Danio rerio: one gene and its partners. The protein of the gene in region 1 binds, or shares a complex with, the protein of each later gene. Links are inferred from orthologs where the notes say so. Each region holds a gene or a part of one and is shown in the gene's direction. Other genes may lie near its edges.

Region 1 (3,515 bases):
ACAATTCATCCAGGCAAGACAGTCTACTGAAAAAAAAAAACTTTTTGTTTTGGCAGTCATTAATTAAAATCTAATGGATATAACTGTATGACTGTATAAATGATGCTATTAATTAACATAGATAAATTATTGTCTCTTATTTCACCTTAACATATTAAAATAAGAAATAAATAAATTCTGTTTGCATAAATGTAAAATAATAAATAATTTTATAAGAAATAAAATTCTCTGGGTTATTTTAAGGTGAATCCTTTTATCAGGTTAAGAAACCCGCATTAGTAAATAACAAAGCCAAATATCAGTTAATCATAACTTAAGCAGACCCATTAAAAAAAAGTTTTGAGCTAGACGTTTGTTTCGTAATGTGGCACGTTTGCCACCTTAGCTTTTGTTTGGGCATATGTGAAATCCGCGATTGAGTTCTTATGAATGCCAAAATGAATGAATGAGATGGTCTCGGCTTAAAATCTAGAGCGCTTCGGTGTTCAGTTGCTTGTTTTAATTATTTTGATCTGTCTATAAACTTTGTCATGTGAAAGCAAAACGCATCAAGAACAAAAAGCAACATTGTAGCAATTTTCAGAACAAAAAAATTGATCTATAGGTGTGAAAGCAAACCTTAAACTGCGTTTCAACTTACTAGTGTGACACCGAATTAATCAGAAATATGTAAGTTAATTCTGAAGTTGATTGAAGTTGAGTCTCAATTTTCCAAATTCAACGGTTCTGAATTCTGAATGTGATGATTTTTGAATATTAGTGTGAATTGTTGATTCTGACTTCCTAATTTGGTTATTTCCAAATTTGACTCTTAAAGAAACACTCCACCTTTGTGAATGATGACTGAATGATGGAATTTAGTTTTATCCATATTTTACAGTAAAATAAACCCTGCATTTACTTAAAAATGTGAAATTTTTAATAATTAGCAATATGTTTGTTTTTTAGGCTGAAACAGCGAGAGATAGTAAGCAGAGCCCTATGGTGCAGAGAAACAGCTCATTTGCCACCTCTCATGAAGTGTGGAAATACATCTGTGAGCTCGGCATCAGCAAAGTGAGTGTCAATAATATGCTTTCTGAAAACATGAACGGAAAAATTCAGTATAATATGCTGCTCCTGTGTGCAGGTGGATCTGTCCATGGAGGACATCGAGACCATCTTGAACACACTGATCTTTGATGGAAAAGTGGAAATGACCATAATTGCCGCTAAAGAGGGAACAGTAGGGAGTGTGGATGGACAGATGAAGCTCTACAGGGGAGTCAATCCCATAATTCAACCCACTGGCCTGGTTAAAACACCATGTGGACTGTGCCCGGTAAACCTTTACTGTTTTTTTTTTTTTTGAAAGAAACTATTAAACAAGTCTGAATGGAGTAATTCAGAATGTTCTAAAATGTTTCCAATATGAATTACTGTGCCTGAGTCTGTATCGGTTAAATCTAAATTTCCGTCTTGATTTTGATAAGTCTGATTTGAAATTGATAATTCTAAAGCCTGAATTCTTATTGGGCTTAGTCTGAATCCTAGATGTGGTGATTGGGAATTCTGAAGAGTCTGTATGAGCGTTGCACAATATGTAGTTTCAGCATCGATATCACAATATGCGCATTTTGCAATAGTCACATCGCAGGATCTGCAATGTTGAACAGGTATTATTTTTGACCAGGAGCTACATTTGAAACTCTCATGATTTGTGGAGGTATTGCAACGTTTAACCATAAACATACAAGACATGTATTACTTATGTGTGTCTTTATCATTTAAGTTAGATTAAAATATTTAGGCATAAAAAAATGTTTCTAACTTTAAAAGCGATTCATTGTATTTATATATATATTTTATACGACAAAGACCATACAGTGTTATTTTACATTTATGTATGTGAATATTGTTAGACTTCCAGACAAATCAAAAAGCACTGTTTATTTAATCTGTATGGTGTAGTGCACTATTATATATCTCAATGTTTGTGATTGGTTTATTATATTTTATGTAGATTCAGTCTCTCTTTCCAAAAAGACTTATTCAATTCATCTGGTGAAATTTTTGATTCAATATCACAATATATATCGTATAAATAAAATATTGTGAATTCATGCAGCCCTAGTCTGTATTAGGAATCTTCATAATTCTGTATTGTATGAAGCAGTATTTTGGATTTAAAATGTTGGTTTCTACATTTTCTGAATTGGTTGGTCTGAATTCTGAATATGATGACTCTGAATTCTTAATTTGAGTAGATTCGACAATTTGACGAGTCTGAATATTCCAAATTTAGGGGTTCTGAATTCTGATTGTTATGATGTTTAATATCAGTATCAATTATTTATTCTGCATTCTTAGTTTGGCAATTCTTATATCTAAATTTGAATGGTCTGAATCTAAGTTTAACTCTTTTGCTGCGTCCACACCAGACGCGGAAGAAGTGCCAAGTGCGAGTGATTTACATGTTAAGTCAAAGCAAAGCTGCGAATATATATCCTGCGCGATACACGCGAATGAGGTGGCGCGAATGATGTGGTGCAAGTTGAGCATTTTGCGCTATTGATACACTTGACGTGCGTTTCGAGCGAATTGCCCGATTTGGTAAAATCTGAACTTCAGCAGACAGTTAACCAATCAGGAGGCTTCACCACATTAACCAATCAGGAGCTTGTTCTTGTATGGGGTATGCTTATGACGTAGCGCCTGTTGTTGGTGTCCTGAGGGAAAATCCCCCTGCCGACACTGACAACCGTTGATCAAACTGGGCTCGGCTCAATCAGAAGCACTGCTGAATGCCTCCATCATCCAGATTATGTTTCTGGAGGAGTTTATGAACTCACAGAGCTGGTTGCAACTCAGAAAGGATATAGTGGACTCAGACATGGCTCCAAACGAATTGATGCTGTTTTTCAGCCTTCATAAAGCACGTAAAAACAGCTATTCACTCAATAAAATCTATGTTAGCCATTTAGCAACAAAGCTACAGTTGCCAGGAAGACAAGCCCTAACCATGATGCGATCCTGCATCTGTTGTGAAGCGGATGATGCACAAATGAAGCGAGTAAACTCAAAATGTTCACACATTTATAAACGAGCGAATAGCGCATGCCACATCTGGTGTGGACACAGCATTACAGGAACATGCTCTTTTCACTAGTCTCCTAGAGTTTAACAGTTAACTTGAAACATTTTTGAATCCATTTAGACGATTTCTTTCTTTCTGGAGGCGTCTCTTTTAGCTTAGCTTAGCATAATGCATTAAATTGGATTAGACCATTTGCATTTCGTTGAAAGAATTAAAAAAATGTTAATAGTTTTCCTATTTAAAGCTCGAGTCTTCTGTAGTCACGTTGTATTATATAAAATTGTAGCTTTTATTTATACTGACAGAAAATTAAAAAGACAATATTGCTAGGATTTATGCTCTCATTGTGGTCAAGAAACTGCATAGTGTCTATATAATAAATACATCGTACACACGCATTATGGGGCGATGCAGTGGCGCAGTAAATAGTGCTGTCGCC
Region 2 (4,156 bases), on another chromosome or scaffold:
CACGTGCAAAATCAGAAATTAAATAGCTATATTTACCTCTGAACTTGCCATTGTAACAGTCTCTAGAGTAGCGACCTACGTGCGATGAGCAAACGGAAAACTAAAGCGTATGATTCAAACAGAATGAGGAAATGTCATATAATTAAAGGAACAAATCAGTGCTTTTAAGTATTCGAGGGATAAATTACAGTAAGAGCCTGCACATCCAACAGCGACCGGACTGCATTTCCTCCTCGTTTATTTTGGGACCAAGCACGCCCCGCCCATAATATGCAAATGAGGTGTTTGTGAACTAATCAAAATCATAAGCGCGATTTTTCGGGAGCTGTCGTTCATTTGAGTAACCAATCCCGTCAACTATACCGAAGGCTACAGAACCGCCTCTCTTAAGGAAAATACACTTTTATAAATCAGCATGCAGTGACGGTCATGGACGATGGATGGCGTCATTGTCTAATTAAAATGAAAGATAATGCTTTAATGGGGCGACACGGTGGCTCAGTGGAAAGCACTGTGGCCTCACAGCAAGGTGGCATGTCTGTGTGGAGTTTGCATGTTCTCCCCGTGTTGACGTGTGTTTTGCTCCGGTCCATATGTGGGTGATTGTTAATAAAGTGTGTATGGATGTTTCGCAGTACTGGATTGCAGCTGGAAGTGCATCAGCTATGTAAAACATATGCTGTATAAGTTGGCGGTTCATTCCGCAGTGGCAACCGCTGATGAATAAAGGGACTAAGCTGAAGGAAAATGAAAGAATAATGCTTTCATGTATTTATAAAATAAATTCGTCCACAGAGAACTTGTGATTTATGTCATTAGTTTTAGGATGTGTTTAGGATATAACGTAAAATGAATATTAGGGGAAAAAACATTAACCAATTTTTCATCATATGTTTAATTTAGCTGTTTAATCATTTTAACCAATACTACGCCATTTAAAGCAGCCTGCAGCCTTATTTAGATAACATACAGATTTCAATCTTAATTTTTGGAAATACCTTGATGGTATCATTTACAACTAAAATTTGCATTATGGTCCGAGACTAGATCTTGTTCTTCATTCATCAGGGTTTATCTATACCAACAATATGCAATACTGTCATTTTACCTAAAATATATATATATATATATATATATATATATATATATATATATATATATATATATATATATATATATATATATATATATATATATACATTCTATTAATTCATTGTTGGTGCAATTATAATCTATACATAGTAAACAAAAAATATTGAAATCTTATCTGTTTTAAATATTTGTAGCATTTGAACCGATTTGAACAAGACGACTGAGGGGGAACGTTTAACACAGCTTCGTTTTCTCGACGGATTGTTGTTAGATGTTGAACCAACAAAGCGAGCAGGATGGAAGTGTAAGCAACATATTTTACTTTTATATGTTTATATTCGAGAACATTTATTTTCCCTTTTTAGTTAAAATACTTATTATGTGGTGGTCTGACGGGGAAAACTACTTTGCAGGATAACAATGACAATGGAATGCTGCTCACGTGGACATCCTCGTTATAACGACAAACTGCATAACGTTATGTTGTAATTCCTACTGTGTTTTTTAGGTGTAAACATGATTCACAGAATACGTCTTAAAAATCTTATCCACAAGCCCTTCACATAGTCTTTAAAGTTTTAAATTTATAGCCAATGGATTTAGTGTGTCTCTGACTAGTTTTGCTTGTAAATACAAACTCTAAACAGTGATCTAACAGTGTTAAATCAAAATTTAAGAATCAAATTTTTAAGAGATGACAATACATTAGTAATTTTAGAAACTGAACAAAAATAAACGTTGTTAATCTTTTATATTAAAAACGGTAAATGTTGAAATATTTTTTACTGTACCTTCTGCACATTGTACTCATTTATTAATTTCCGGTTACTGTACATGATTTAAAGTAAACTAATAATAATATTAATAGTATTCTTTTGTAGGAGGGATGCCAATGCTGCTATGCTGAGCAATTATGAGGTCAGTATGAATTTTAAAACTTTCGAATAAAAAAACAAAAAGTGTACTTTTTATTGTTTGTGGCTATAGAAGTGTTCTCTACTCCACCAGGTCTATCAGCTGCTGACAGACCTGAAAGAAAAAAGAAAGGAGATGGTTAAAAATAAGCACAGCACCGGGCAGCAGAATCTCAACACCATCATGTATGAGGTGCTTGTTTTTTGATGTGATCTAACAAACATCTCCAGATGCAGCAAAACAGGCTATCTCCTTGAATGTGACAGAATGTTTAATTCCTCCTGAGGACTTGAAACCCACAGTCCATTTGTTCATAAACGAAACATGGCAAAGAGAATGGGACAACTGCATAAATAATAAATTGCATGAAATTAACCCGAAAATAAATGAAAGACGTTTAGCAAATTATAATTTTCAGACTAGGCATGATCAGATGGCCTACACCAGATGTGGAATTGGAGGATTGGATTTTAAGTTGACACATTTATATTTACTGAAAAAAGAAGCACTACGTAAATGTAATTACTGCCAGGCTGCTCTTACCATAAAACATGTTTTGTTGGAATGTAGAAGTTTAAATTCCATTAGACAAAATTATTTTAAAGAGGGTACTTCAGTGGACACTTTTAAAAAGGTACCATCAGGAAGAGTTTTAAATTATTAATTAAAAAATTAACTGAAAAATCATATTTGACTTTGAATATTTTTTTTGTGTGAATTTTTTTGTATTTATATTTTTTATATTCGTGTAAGTAACTTTTTTTATTGTAATACGAATTCGTTTTTTCATGTAATATTTTATGAATATCCATTTTGCCACGAAATAGCCATAAGTTGCTGATGTGGCAATAAATAATAAATTAATAAATAAACAAACACCTCCAAATTGGACTAGGTGATATGACAAATCATGTATAATGATATGTCATCTCATATATTGATAACGATATATATCTTACTATATAGTAACATTTCTAAAATTCAATTCATTAATAGTTTGTATTGACCACATGTAAAAGACTTTATCTAGATTTATTTTTTTTTACAATTTAAAGTACATACTCAGAGATATACTCGTATGTGATCATATTCCTCCCTTTATTTAGAATTTCAGGGCAAATATTTGATTGAGAAGGTATAAATATAAAGCACATATTAATAAAGTATATAAAACACTTTTCAAAAACCAATGATTACAGGTCCAACATTGCTAAATAATGTAAACATTGTACTTTCAAGATTGCAACTTTCTTATGATGCAGGGATGATCTGGTCAACACGCATATACAAGTATTACTGTTAACTCCACAAAATAAACTATATATATATATATATATGTGTGTGTATATGTGTGTATATGTGTGTATATGTGTGTGTGTGTGTGTGTGTGTGTGTGTGTGTATATGTGTACACACACACACAGGGGTTGGACAATGAAATTGAAACTCCTGGTTTTAGATTAATTTATAATTCATTAGTATGGTGTAGGGCAGGGATGTCAAACTCAATTCCTGGAGGGCCGCAGCCCTGCACAGTTTAGTTCCAACCCTGCTCCAACACACTTACCTGTAGGTTTTAAACAAGCCTGAAGGACTTAATTAGTTTGATCAGGTGTGTTTAATTAGGGTTGGAACTAAACTGTACAGGGCTGCGGCCCACCAGGAATTGAGTTTGACATCCCTGGTCTAGGGCCTCCTTTTGCAGCCCAGCCAATACAGCATCAATTGGTCTTGGAAATGACAGATACAAGTCCTGCACAGTGGCCAAAGGGATTTAAGCCATTCTTCTTGCAGAATAGTGGCCAGGTTACTTTGTAATGCTGGTGGGGAAAATGTTTTCTACCTTGCTCCCCCAAAACACTCCAGAGTGGCTCAATAATATTTAGATCTGGTGAATGTGCAGGCCATGAGAGATGTTCAACGTTACTTTCATGTTCATCAAACCACTCTGTCACCAGTCTTGCTGTGAGTCTTGTTGCATAATCATCCTGATACACGACACTGGCTTCAGGAGTGCACATGGTCCTCCAGAATATTTTGGTAGTCCTAGGCAGCGACATTCCCACTTAGCATAAGTATTGGGCCTAGAGAATGCCATGATATTGCAGCCCAAACCGTCACTGATCCACCCTCACGCTTCACTCTTGGTG
Region 3 (3,995 bases), on another chromosome or scaffold:
TCAATCAGAATATTATCAAGCTACGAGAATACATCTGTGTGCACATAAAACAAAAATAACTACTTTACTCAACAGTTTCTTCTCCTCAGTGTATTGCATGTGTTCACGAGTGGTGTGCACTTATGTACTGACTATGACTTCCTTAGTTTGAAACAATTCACAGACACATTTGAGGTAATAAGCAAGTCAGAGGTGCAACCAAACGCGGCACATAAATGTGAGCATTATACTGACACAGAGGAGAAGAAACTGTTGAAAAAAAATCTGTAGAATATAGAAGATTTTAAGCTGGAACTATTACCCTCTAGTATTTACAACTACATTATCAGCTATTCACAACCTGGACAAACAGCTCTGAGGAAGATTTTAAATATATTAAACTCAAAGTGATGGCGCTTCTTGACCACCATTATATAGATAACGTACATAGGAAAACATAGTTCTCAACTTAAAAAAAAAACGTATTTTCTGTTCTACTTAAGAACAGAATCTTGGGATGTCAATTAACCGAACATTTTAATATCTGGGTGAATTGTCCGTTTAAAACAGCCCCTTGACTGCATGTACACCTGAATGGGCAGGTCACACAGAAGCGGGTCCTGCACTATGAGAGCCAGCCCTTCTTCAAAGATGTCCAGAATTTCTGAGTGTGGAAGAGCCTCCTCGTCTTCTTCCTCTTCGTGCTCCTCTTTTATTTCATCTTCCACAGTTTTCTCCTCTAACTCTTTTTTGAGCTCGGTTTCGTCCTTTATTTCGTCCATTTTATCTTCAAACGTCTTGTTTTGAGGGTATAGAAATCCAAGACTTATAAAAAAGTCACTAAGCGTTAATAGTTAACATAACTACAATTTCGTAAAAAAACTGTACGCCTTTTGCAGAAGCTTATTGTATTAAAAATTGTAACTTTAACAATTTGAGCCGTTCCAGCATTTCTTTTTACATTTCATTTTTATAAACACGCTGTCGGAATATTTCAGTGATGCACCCGACTTTAGTTCCGCATAGGTTTTTTATGATTCACATTCTTTATTACAATAACAATCTTCTATTAAAATATTTTTTAATCAGCATTAATATATTCGTTGACATTTTCATATATATTTAAGTTTAATATATACAACAGAAACAGTGTTCATCCTTGTCTATATTTCGTTTTATGGCGAGCCAATAATACAGAGGCACATTGATTGTCATGTGCTTCCTGTAGCGACTTAGAAAGGACTGTGTGTAAATACCAACTTCAGTTGCATCAGAAAGAAACTATAACTGTATTTACTACGTAACATAATCTATGACTGTTTGAAAATGCTCCTGTTTTGTCCGACATGTGGGAATGTGTTAATCGTGGAAGAAGGACAGCGATGCTTTAGATTCGCGTGTAACACATGTCCATATGTGCACAACATCACGAGGAAGGTAATGCATAACACCGGTTATGGAAATTTGTATCTAATAAGCGTTTGGAACGTTTGATTCGAACGCATTAAAGTTCGACGGAACGCCGACATTTAAAAGTTCGATTCGAATGAAACGAAAGAAATGACTTGATTCGATAATATGAGAACGTGTGAGGAACATCTGATGAGATCAATGTTTCTAACATTACAAATTATATAACAAAAATAGATTTGAGTGAGGGAGTGTTTATGTTCTATCAAACATTGCTTTCAGAGCATGATAAATAACGCTGGGTTACTGAGTAGTTACTTAAATGAAATGGTTAAATGATTATAAGATTGTATTGTACTTTAAAATGCTCTTTATTTCATCACGTTATTATATTTATGTATAAAATTTACAGTTTTAGAATAAATTCTCATTAAAAGATATTTTGAATAATGCTGGCACCCATTTTCTACCATAGTAGGAAATAAGAGTTGATTGAAGTCAATGGATCCCAGCAACATTCTTCAAAATATCTTCTTTTGTTTAACAGAAGATATAAACTTACTCAATGTACTTAATAAACCAAGAACTTCGTTTATATTATCTTGAAAACGTAGGAATTAAAAATATTTTAGAAATTTTTTAGAAATATTGTTATAGCTTCAGGTGGATAAACATCTGGATACTTAAAAGTTTATATTTGATGTCACTTCATAGATACTTATGTATGTGTGTCTTATCATCAAATGTTCATTCATAAATTGCACATACTTCTGAATTAAATCAGCCACAGTGCCACACGCAGGTTAACATTTTACCACCACTCTTTACTTCTCTTGTGTCTATGAACTCCGTAACATTACAAAACTTCCCATCATGCCACCTGTTTCCCGTCTTAAAGACACAGATGCAATTATAGCACATGACAATACTAACTTCAGAATCATAACACAAAACCTGGATAAATAAATCACCTCTATAAACTACTGACATTGTTTTTAAAAGATAGCTCTTAAAAACTCATTTTTGCATCCCCCAAAATGCTGTTGTGCAAACAAATGGCCAAAACACATACAAGTTTTCAATGCTTAGTTGGTCTGTAAATGTAATTGGCTGTTAAGTGAAAAAGTCAATTTCAAACTCTGATTAGAATTCAAAATGACGCTGTTTTAGACACTGGTAACAACTGTATTTATACAGTGACATATTAAAGAAGAGCCACTTGTCATAGTATTTTTGCTATTTATGTCATTGATAGTTTTTTTCAACATTCCGCATATATATTCTTTAAAGTCTGTGTGAAATCCAAATTTACAGTGTTTATTTTACAAGCACACAATGCTATTCTTTAGGTAAATGATAAATCCATGCAAGCTAATTCACCGAAAAAAAAAATCTTTGTTCTGATAATCTTCAAAGTCTGACCATTTGCTCTGGCGTTTGGAGTGGCAGTCCTTCTCTGATGATGTCAGTTTGGCAGATGCATCCACAATATTCCTAACCACGCCCCTCTTACCTTTAGTTGATGAGGGAATGATGTGCAAAAAGAAAGCCCCGCCCCCTACTCAATATGCAGTTTCAGTTTGAGGTCCTTCAACATACTAAAATAAGTCTCAGCAACTTGCAGTAAAATTAAAAACACTTATAAATCACCTTGAACCATCCTTGTTTTTATTAGTATCTAACAATTGAAGCTTGTTTCTATGAGGGTTAGGTTTATGGTCAGGCATAGACAGTATCATTGACCTGATAAAAAAATAGGAAAACAAACCTGTTTATGTGCTTTAACAGGTAAACAACAGAAAGTACCCCAAACTGAAGGAGGTTGATGATGTTCTTGGAGGATCTGCTGCTTGGGAAAATGTGGATTCCACTGCAGGTAAACAAATGAAACTTGAAAAGTAAAGTTTGCTCACAAACTTATGGTGGATTGACTGAGACTAGTCTGAAAGTTTGAAGTAGTTTTAAAGTTTAATTAATTGAAATAGTTTTTAAGAATTTTGAAACAGTCGGCATAGATTGATAACTACATATAGGTCAGCATGTATCTAGTATGGATTGGTATGTTTTAGTATAGATTGGTATATGGTTAGTATGTTTCTAGTGTGGATTAGATTATTATAGTATGTTTCTAGTCTGGATTGGTATATTATTAGTATGTTTGTTAGTATGTTTCTAGTATGGATTTGTGTGTCCTTAGTATGTTTCTAGTGTGGTTTATGTCTCTAGTATAGATTGGTATATTGTTAGTATGTTTTAGTGTGGGTTAGTATATTTTTAGTATGTTTTAGTATGGATTGGTGTGTCCGTTAGTATGTTTCTAGTATAGATTGGTATATTGTTTGTATGTTTCTAGTATGGATTAGTATATTTTTATTATGTTTTATGGTATGAATTGGTGTGGCCTTGGTTTGTTTTTTAATGTGGTTTATTATGTTTCTAGTATGGATTGGTATATTTGGAGTATGTTATGTTTTTCTTCCATGGATTGGTATATTATTACTATGTTTCAAATGTGGATTAATATATTTTTAGTATGTTTGTTAGTATGTATCTAGTATGGATTGGTGTGTCCTTTAGTGTGTTTCTAGTGTGGTTTATGTTTCTTG
Region 4 (3,997 bases), on another chromosome or scaffold:
ACTTTAAATGTATTTACATTATTTTAATGAACAATATTTATTCATTATTGTGAAAAACTAGATATTATATTATATTATTATATCTTTTTCTAACAGGAATGATAAGCTCTCTGCTAGCAAAATATATAATATAATATAATATAATATAATATAATATAATATAATATAATATAATATAATATAATATAATATAATATAAATAGGAATAAAAAAGTGAGGGCAGCCAAAAGTTGAGTGCCGCCCTTTGTTCAATATGAGTTAGAAGAAGGGTGGATGGAAGGGGTCTGTGTCCCAAAACTTACTGAAGTGGTTACTTTTACAACAGTTTTTTATAAAATATGTTTTTATTTTTCACCTTTTCATTTTAGTTTTATTTTATACTTGTTAATGCATAATATTCAAAATAAATGTATTGTACAAATATTGAGTATATTTTACACAAAACACGAAATTTCATAGACAGTAGTTTTAAAATTCAGTCCGATAATAAACCATTTTATGACACAAAAGAGACCATATAAAAGGAATGAAATAAACTTTAAATAAATATGTTTAAAATGTTTGTGCATTAAATTAAAACTATAAATAAATATGTTTAAAATGTTTGTGCATTAAATTAAAATTTACCATTTACAATTTTAAAGAGTATTTATGAAATACAGTCCAGAGTTATTATAGTATATCATTATATAGGCCTAATACAATATGATATTTATAAAAATAGCTATAAATATATATGTAAATAGATTTGAAACAAAATGTTTATTTATTGTTCAGATAAAATAACCGTTAAAAACAAAATATTTAAAATTAGTTCATTATTATTTAATATACAGCACTTATAATTTTTTTTAAGTTAAAAGTTTATTAATATTTTATTAATTGAGAGTTTATTAACAAAACCATCATGATGACACCATAAGACTAAATGGACAAATAAAAACTTTAAATATATTTTATTTATTTTTATTAAAAAATTTGTTATTGTGATAAATATAATATAAAATGATATAATAATATAAAATAAAATATAATATAGATGATATATAAAATAATAATATGTAAATATTAAAAAATGATATATAATATAATATAATATAATATAATATAATATAATATAATATAATATAATATAATATAAAATGTCTGAGTAATCTTTTCCTAACAGAGGGCTCGTGTCACGTGACCAATGATGCTCCTGCAAGGATGTAGCTGTCAGCTGGAAGAGTTCGGCAGATATGATGTGAGCAGTTTACACAAATTTCAAGTACGTATAGTATTTATTTTCACTTATCTCTAATGCAGCCGTGCGCAGCATTTTTAAATATGTCCGTCTAAATGTCATAAAGTGCTATGAAAGGCTTTGTTTTGATAGCATAGGTTGCTAACAAAATGGAGGCGCGCGCGTCTTGAAATCCAAGTCAGCGCACATTTAGTGTATTTTGAACGAGCGTTTCTCTTGGAAAATTAAGGTTTTCACCTTTGTTTGAGTCTGAGTAATCACATATTGCACGCTGCTCAGTAGGGTTTGTTGTTTGTGTGTTTGGCAGGATGTGTGATCATGGAGATGGGGACGCGGAGGCGAGCTCATCTTCCACTTTCAGACCGTCTTTTGCTCTGGGCAACGTTAAAGGACTGCCAGGGAGAATTTCACACAATCCTCCTCCACCAGGCAGACTGACCTCCCTGCGGTCCAGAGACCTGACCCTGGGAGGATTTAAAAAGGTTACTCATTCTAATACCTTTTTAATGCTGTTTTTAATCTTTAACAAAGACAAAAGATTGGTTTAAAGGGATAGTTCACGCAAAAAAATAAAAATTCTGTCATCATTTACTTACTCTTTCCTTGTTTCAAACCTTTAACGTTATTCGTTTCTGTCTTGTGTTGAATTTATTGAATTACTTGTTTGTGTTTTGGATGTTTATTGTTTTGTCCATGTTTGGGCTCTTGCCCTCAGCTGCAGTCATCACAAGACAAATTTCCCTAACTGGGACAATAAAGTTTTACCTTACCTTACCTTAAACACAAAATAAATAATTATGAAAAATGCTGGAAACCTGTAACTATTATTGAGATTTTAAATTTGGTTTTGTATTCGCTCGTTCATTCAGAACTTGTGATATGATCATTAGGCATGGGCCGATACAAGATTCTGACGGGATGATAACCTTGGATAAAAAATATCACGGTTTCACAGTATTGTGATTACTTCTCTAAAATATATTCTTTTTAAATCTCTGGGTAAAAAACAAACTTTTTTTCCACTTTAAATACAAAAAATTTACTTTGAGAAACATTTTAAATATTTTCCAACAGTAAACATGTCAGGCTACAGTAAATAATTAAAACAAGTCTTTGACTTCTGCTGTCTTCATTAGTTTCAAAAACTCAAATTTCTTTACAATTTAAAGTAGCACCTTTAGATATGTTTTTGTTGTCGGAGATTTGTCCTAAAAAAAAACAAAACAAAAAAAAATAAAAAAAAAACGAGATAAAATAAATAATAATTAAAATATAAATAAAAAAAACAAACAAATACATACCTTAGGAAACGGTATAGCAAAAGATTTCGGCAGTTTTAAAACCTTGATTTTTCCAAACCGCAGTACACCTCGAAAACGGTTATTGTCCCATGCCTAATGCTCACTATATCGTTTACGGTAACTTGGTTAAGTTAGTTTTATATTCACACATTCATGCTTTCTCCTTAATAATATAACTAGAGAAAAGTATTGTTTGCAAATTCTAAATAATGAATTAATATTAGCAGCCAACAACTGTCAAAGGGAAACATTAACAACTAAAGTCAGTTAAATAGTGCCAATGTTGTTTTGAAGACATCCTTACATGCTATTTCAGACTGAATAGTCAAAGTAGCTTGTTGAACAATACAGGGAGCGTGTCACAAGTTGTCGCTGTTAAAAACTGAACAATCGTGCGAATACAAAATCAACTTTACCTTAGTATTGTTTACCATAGTACTTTATCAGGAATATTAGGACTGAAATCACATGTAACTTCAAAACAACATTAGCACTATTTATTTGGCTGTGGACAATGTTGTATAATTGTGATACAACATTAATAAAACAATAATACTTGTTTGAAATTATATTATTAAGGAGAAAGTCAGAATGTGCGAAAATAAAACTAACTTTACCACATTGTAACCAGTGATTTTCTTAGTATTTGTTTTTCCTACTATGGTGGTCAATGGTTACAGGTTTTCAACATATTCAAAATATCAAATTTTGTTTAATTGAAGAAAGAAATGTATAATGGTTTGTGGGTGAGTTCATTATTACATTTAAAATATTCAGTGAACTATTCCTTTAACTTATGTTACTTGCATTGTGCTTTTTTACAATAAAAACATGGTTTCAAACCTGCTTTGGAGAAAATTATGAAGAAAATGTAAATGTGCAGCGCATTTTTTTAAAACCATAACCATTAGGATATATTTGTATAATACAATTTAACATGATCACATAACATGATAACATGATCTATCTATCTATCTATCTATCTAATAAATGCAGGTTAAATTTACATGAATGCACCTGTTACTTTAAATTACACTAGAATAATATTATTTTACCCATATTCTTGACATTTTACTTTCTCTAAAGTCTGAGACATCAAATTATAGACACTTCATTACATTGAATATTCTTTTTAATATTAAATTAAATTAAATTTTTTGTAAATTGTTTTTAATGCAGACATCAAATTAGGTCATCATGTCAATGCCTCATACTATGTTTATACTTGTCAGTTTATTAGAATTTTAGTCTAATTACTATCTGGTCATGTGTAATAAATATGAGTGTTACTTTAATAATGAACCAAGCAATTATTAATTGACTCGCTGTGTTTTTATTTCCCTTGCAGAAAACCTTTGTTCCAAATGTTCACTCCGTTCGCAAAAGTAAAGATGAGTAAGTATTTTTAAAGATCTCATTCTATTGCTTTGTTTGGTATTTGTAGTACTCGTGC
Region 5 (4,130 bases), on another chromosome or scaffold:
ACACTGACCACCAAGTGCTAAATGTTGACGTTCATTGCAGAATTTGTGATATAATTTACGGCAAATGCGACATTATAAACAAGTAAAACAGAAACAGAAACATTAGCACTCCGGTTTCACTTCTGAGAAGAGTTCAGTGTCGATGTGATTTAAGGACATTTCTGAAAGTTTCTAAAAGCTGACATTAATAACTGAACACTTATCAAAACTGAACATGTCGTGAAATGTGAAAAAGTCATCATTTACAGTACAAAAACACAAGAAATGAGTGTAGCATTGGTGCTAAACACAAAACCTGTTGGTTTCCGCTTATGTTACGTTAACAAGCACCTGTCTAACATCTAATAAAACCGGTCATCGGTAAATACATGTGTTTTTTAGTGTTTATACACAAACAACAAACCACGACAGGCCTTTCGCCCACATCAGGCTGATACACTGCTAACATGCTAACTTTAGCACAACAGCGGAACCTGCGAGAGCGACAGCAGAACTACAGAAAGACATTAACTTGAGCCGGCTGCGCGCTACCAGCGACACGGACTCACCGGTAGTTTGGGACTCACTTCACCCTTACAACAGTGACAGAAGAAGCGATGCGGAGGGACCGCAGCAGCCTCCGCCATGTTTTCTGTGAGACTGCCTGTGTCCCAAACAGCAACAGCAGCAGCAGCGCTGGCCGAGCGTCGGTCCGCCCACTGCAGAGGGAGGTGCTTTGGCAATGAGCACTCAGTAGTGCGAGTCATTGAGGCGAGTCGACTCACTCAGGGGAGTCGTTTGACTGAGCTGATCAAAACAACATACTGAGTCAAAATTATTTACATAAGGCTGTGTGAAGTGTGCGTTTTACTAGTATTACAGGGATCAGAGAGGGCTTTATTCGAGAACAATGTAAAATTAAAACAAAAAAAGACCATTACATATTATTATATATGCTATTATGTCAGTCTAATATTATATGTTAGCATGTAATTCACCTAATTGAACTTTACTCTGATAATTGTAGTTCACTCCAAAAAAATATTCTTCTACCTACAAACCTGTTTGACTTCTGACAAACAAAACAAAAACTACTTAAATAGTATTTTTTCCTGAAACTGATATTTCCTAACATTTTTTTTTTCAAAATACCCTTTTGTTTATTCAAATAAAAAAAAGTAATTTCATAAAAAACACCCGAGTGTGAGTAAACAGTGATTCATTTTTCATTATTCATTCGGTTCTTTTGATCCGCAAAAAGATTCCGTTCATGATAGCGATTCACTCAAGCTTCACACACCAGAGCTCCGCCTCCACGTGATCAAACCACGGAAATTCGTCAGTGCTTGTCGTTGCACACCGTCTGGACAACACACGTGAGATCAAAAAGTGTGAACTCATCTAAATAACACATACGGATATCTAGATAACTTACTTTTTAGAGGTAAGTTTGTCTTTAAGCATGTGCATCTGTGCTTTGTTTAGCCTTTGTGAGATGTTTGCTTTGTGGAAAGGCCAGACAACAACTAATTCTGCGCTAATCCAGTGTTAGTAGCCAGTCAAAACGCAAATATGAATGTTTACTTTTGCACTTTGTTGACAAAATGTTTTGTTTTTAAACTGATGCTTTTAGTTATAGCTTGTGTAGCTTGTGTTTCTAGTAACTCCATGTATAGTTACAAGACTTTACATGTATTTTTGATGGTTACAGGTAAACGTTACAGATTAAGGAGGAAAACTGTAATATTAAAATTGTGAGCAGTTTTATTAATAAGGAAATGTGGGTAGACCATAAATAACACGAAATCATGTATGTAAACATTAATAACTGATAACATATTAGTCAACATATTCATCAAAGTTGATTCACTAAATGTTGACAACTGTATGCACACATTGAAAAATGATTACATTAAGTGACTGAACAAGAACATCAAGTGCATGAACAATATTTGATTTGCCTTTTTAGTTGCTGACCTATAGAAAACTACATATGAGGCATATACAAAGGTGCTCTGTACAAATTAGATTTAATGATTTCCAAATATATGAGACATTCTACCAGAAACATACATTTTTATTTATAAAATAAATGACAGGGCCTGACCTTTAAGCTTGTCTTCCTCAAAAAAATAAATAAATAAATAAATAATTAAAATAAAAAATAAAACAGTTTAATGATAGAATGTATCCTTGATGTCTGCTTCCCCATCAAATGATGCCACTTCCAAGTCATAGCCTTAAAGGTGTATAGCACACATTTTATGTTAAATTTAAGGCAAATGTGACAGGACTGACAGAAACATGGGGACAATTGTAAAAGTATTTGTAATATATATTTGTAGTAATTATTTGTAGACTTTATAATTTCATGTTTTTAATCAGTTTACGTGTATGATAGCAACTTAAACTTGCTATTTCTGAAGTTTTTCTTTTTTCTAAATAACAGTTTTTAGCATCACAAAATTATTAAACCTGAACGTTCAATTTGGCTGAGGACAATGACAAGGTTTGTACATTTGTAAAGTGTTTTTAATAAAGAACAAAAATCTGAGATCCTTACAAAAATCTTACTTTGCCTGGTTCAGCATATTGTGTGCTGTTCTGTCTTGTTATCCATTCTCAGCATCTCTGGTCTCTGTTAAAATCCCAGGCTTTGTAATATTTTCCCACAAGTGACATTTTGGAAATTGATTGCAATGCGTTTTGTGTGCAAGTCTGAAACAAGAATAGGCTGGAAAAAAACTAATTGTGCAATTAGAGCAAAAAAACCAACCAACACTAGTTTGCAAGTTGACATGTCTAAAAAGAATTATACATTATTCATAGATAAATTGACTACAGATTGTGATTTGATTGTTGCTCTCTGTCCTACAGATGACAGCACAGGAGGTGCGTCTGTGTGGGCTGTTGCTGCAGGAGCACTTTGGTGATGTGGTGGAAAATGTGGGCACTCATCTCATCCGCAATGGAGTTCTGACCTTGAGAGCTCTTGCCCATGAGACCAAACTGGCTCTTGACCTGGTAATGTCACTATTTAAAGCTTTCTTTGATAGCTTAAAAAATAAGATTCTCTTGGATGTGTGGTTTGTTAGGATAGGATATCCATTGTTTCCAAAATCCAAACAGAATAAAACTATTAAAAAAAAAAATTGGAATCTGAAATGTTTATATTTTTTAAGAGCCCATATTATACATGAAATAGGGCTGTAAGGGTCTCCAACAACAGTCTAATATGCATGCAAGGTCAAAAAACACTTTCATGGTCTTATAATTTGCATTTATTTTTACATAATTATCCCAGCGACTACCATATGAATCGTCCAGTGATTCATTTGTTCCCAAACCCCTCCTTAGCTTGAAACTAATCTGCGCTGATTGGACCGATGACAGTCTGTTGCGATTGGTCGACACTGACTACCTTCAGCGAGAGACAGTGAAATGCCCAGCAGCTAATCAACAATATAGAAGTAGTCACAGTGCATACACACTTCATATTGTAAGGTGTGGATTTTAGCTGCCAGTGGGTGAATGTAAATACAGGCGATGGACTTGAAAATACCAACGACTAACTATTTTATTGAGCAAAAACTCCAAGAATTGGCGAGGAGATCTCCTAGCTTGTCACACTCTGCTCTTTTCACACACACACACACACACACACACACACACACACACACACACACACACACACACACACACACACACACACACATAATCCTCCTCCGGACGACAACGCGCACACACACACACACATTACCCTCCTCCACAGAGGTCCGCAAACAAAGCGGCACGCGTCACATTTTTTAACGTGGCTTTGCACACGATACGAGAATATAGCGAGTTAACCTGATACAGTACAAGCGGTTATAAGTAACAAATCATAACTAAATACATTTGCAAGCTAGAGTAAACGAGGCAACAACTTTAATCGCACGTACTTACACTTAAGAAATGGAGGAAGAAACCGATCCATGTCCTGGCATGTCCATCAGCAGTCTTTACTGATCCTTTCTTTAACAAACGACCGATGAAGTATTCTTTGTAGCATGTAGTTTCCAGTAGTTTCCAACTGCTCAATGCCGGGCTAATGCTGAGGTTTCATCTTTGGGTAGAGACTCAATAATTTCCGTCTGCAGTCTGACTTCAAT

Evidence for each region.
Region 2: polr3f (region 1) and crcp share a complex: the UniProt entries of both Homo sapiens proteins name them as parts of the RNA polymerase III complex. The link is inferred for Danio rerio from reciprocal best matches to the Homo sapiens genes POLR3F and CRCP.
Region 3: polr3f (region 1) and polr3k share a complex: the UniProt entries of both Homo sapiens proteins name them as parts of the RNA polymerase III complex. The link is inferred for Danio rerio from reciprocal best matches to the Homo sapiens genes POLR3F and POLR3K.
Region 4: polr3f (region 1) and zgc:171971 share a complex: the UniProt entries of both Homo sapiens proteins name them as parts of the RNA polymerase III complex. The link is inferred for Danio rerio from reciprocal best matches to the Homo sapiens genes POLR3F and POLR3D.
Region 5: polr3f (region 1) and polr3c share a complex: the UniProt entries of both Homo sapiens proteins name them as parts of the RNA polymerase III complex. The link is inferred for Danio rerio from reciprocal best matches to the Homo sapiens genes POLR3F and POLR3C.

What each region holds. Positions count from the first base shown.
Region 1 is NC_133197.1:25,881,332-25,884,846, reverse strand, and holds part of polr3f (DNA-directed RNA polymerase III subunit RPC6), read left to right. Parts: exon of another isoform or gene 1-193; intron 194-948; coding exon 949-1,056; intron 1,057-1,129; coding exon 1,130-1,321; intron 1,322-3,515. UniProt on the Homo sapiens protein: DNA-dependent RNA polymerase catalyzes the transcription of DNA into RNA using the four ribonucleoside triphosphates as substrates.
Region 2 is NC_133196.1:33,906,789-33,910,944, reverse strand, and holds the start of crcp (DNA-directed RNA polymerase III subunit RPC9), read left to right. Parts: upstream 1-1,355; 5' UTR 1,356-1,388; coding exon of another isoform or gene 1,389-1,396; intron 1,397-1,960; 5' UTR 1,961-1,973; coding exon of another isoform or gene 1,974-1,992; coding exon 1,993-2,010; intron 2,011-2,100; coding exon 2,101-2,199; intron 2,200-4,156. Other genes in the region: asl (argininosuccinate lyase), read right to left, coding at 37-51. UniProt on the Homo sapiens protein: DNA-dependent RNA polymerase catalyzes the transcription of DNA into RNA using the four ribonucleoside triphosphates as substrates.
Region 3 is NC_133178.1:45,547,112-45,551,106, forward strand, and holds the start of polr3k (DNA-directed RNA polymerase III subunit RPC10), read left to right. Parts: upstream 1-1,180; 5' UTR 1,181-1,305; coding exon 1,306-1,416; intron 1,417-3,177; coding exon 3,178-3,265; intron 3,266-3,995. Other genes in the region: snrnp25 (U11/U12 small nuclear ribonucleoprotein 25 kDa protein), read right to left, coding at 570-761. UniProt on the Homo sapiens protein: Core component of RNA polymerase III (Pol III) which synthesizes small non-coding RNAs using the four ribonucleoside triphosphates as substrates. Can mediate Pol I proofreading of the nascent RNA transcript.
Region 4 is NC_133187.1:7,835,662-7,839,658, reverse strand, and holds the start of zgc:171971 (uncharacterized protein), read left to right. Parts: upstream 1-1,184; 5' UTR 1,185-1,238; coding exon of another isoform or gene 1,239-1,243; 5' UTR 1,244-1,267; intron 1,268-1,550; coding exon of another isoform or gene 1,551-1,551; coding exon 1,552-1,725; intron 1,726-3,892; coding exon 3,893-3,939; intron 3,940-3,997. UniProt on the Homo sapiens protein: DNA-dependent RNA polymerase catalyzes the transcription of DNA into RNA using the four ribonucleoside triphosphates as substrates.
Region 5 is NC_133191.1:14,591,555-14,595,684, forward strand, and holds the start of polr3c (DNA-directed RNA polymerase III subunit RPC3), read left to right. Parts: upstream 1-1,330; 5' UTR 1,331-1,423; intron 1,424-2,856; coding exon 2,857-3,003; intron 3,004-4,130. Other genes in the region: rnf115a (E3 ubiquitin-protein ligase RNF115), read right to left, coding at 549-746. UniProt on the Homo sapiens protein: DNA-dependent RNA polymerase catalyzes the transcription of DNA into RNA using the four ribonucleoside triphosphates as substrates.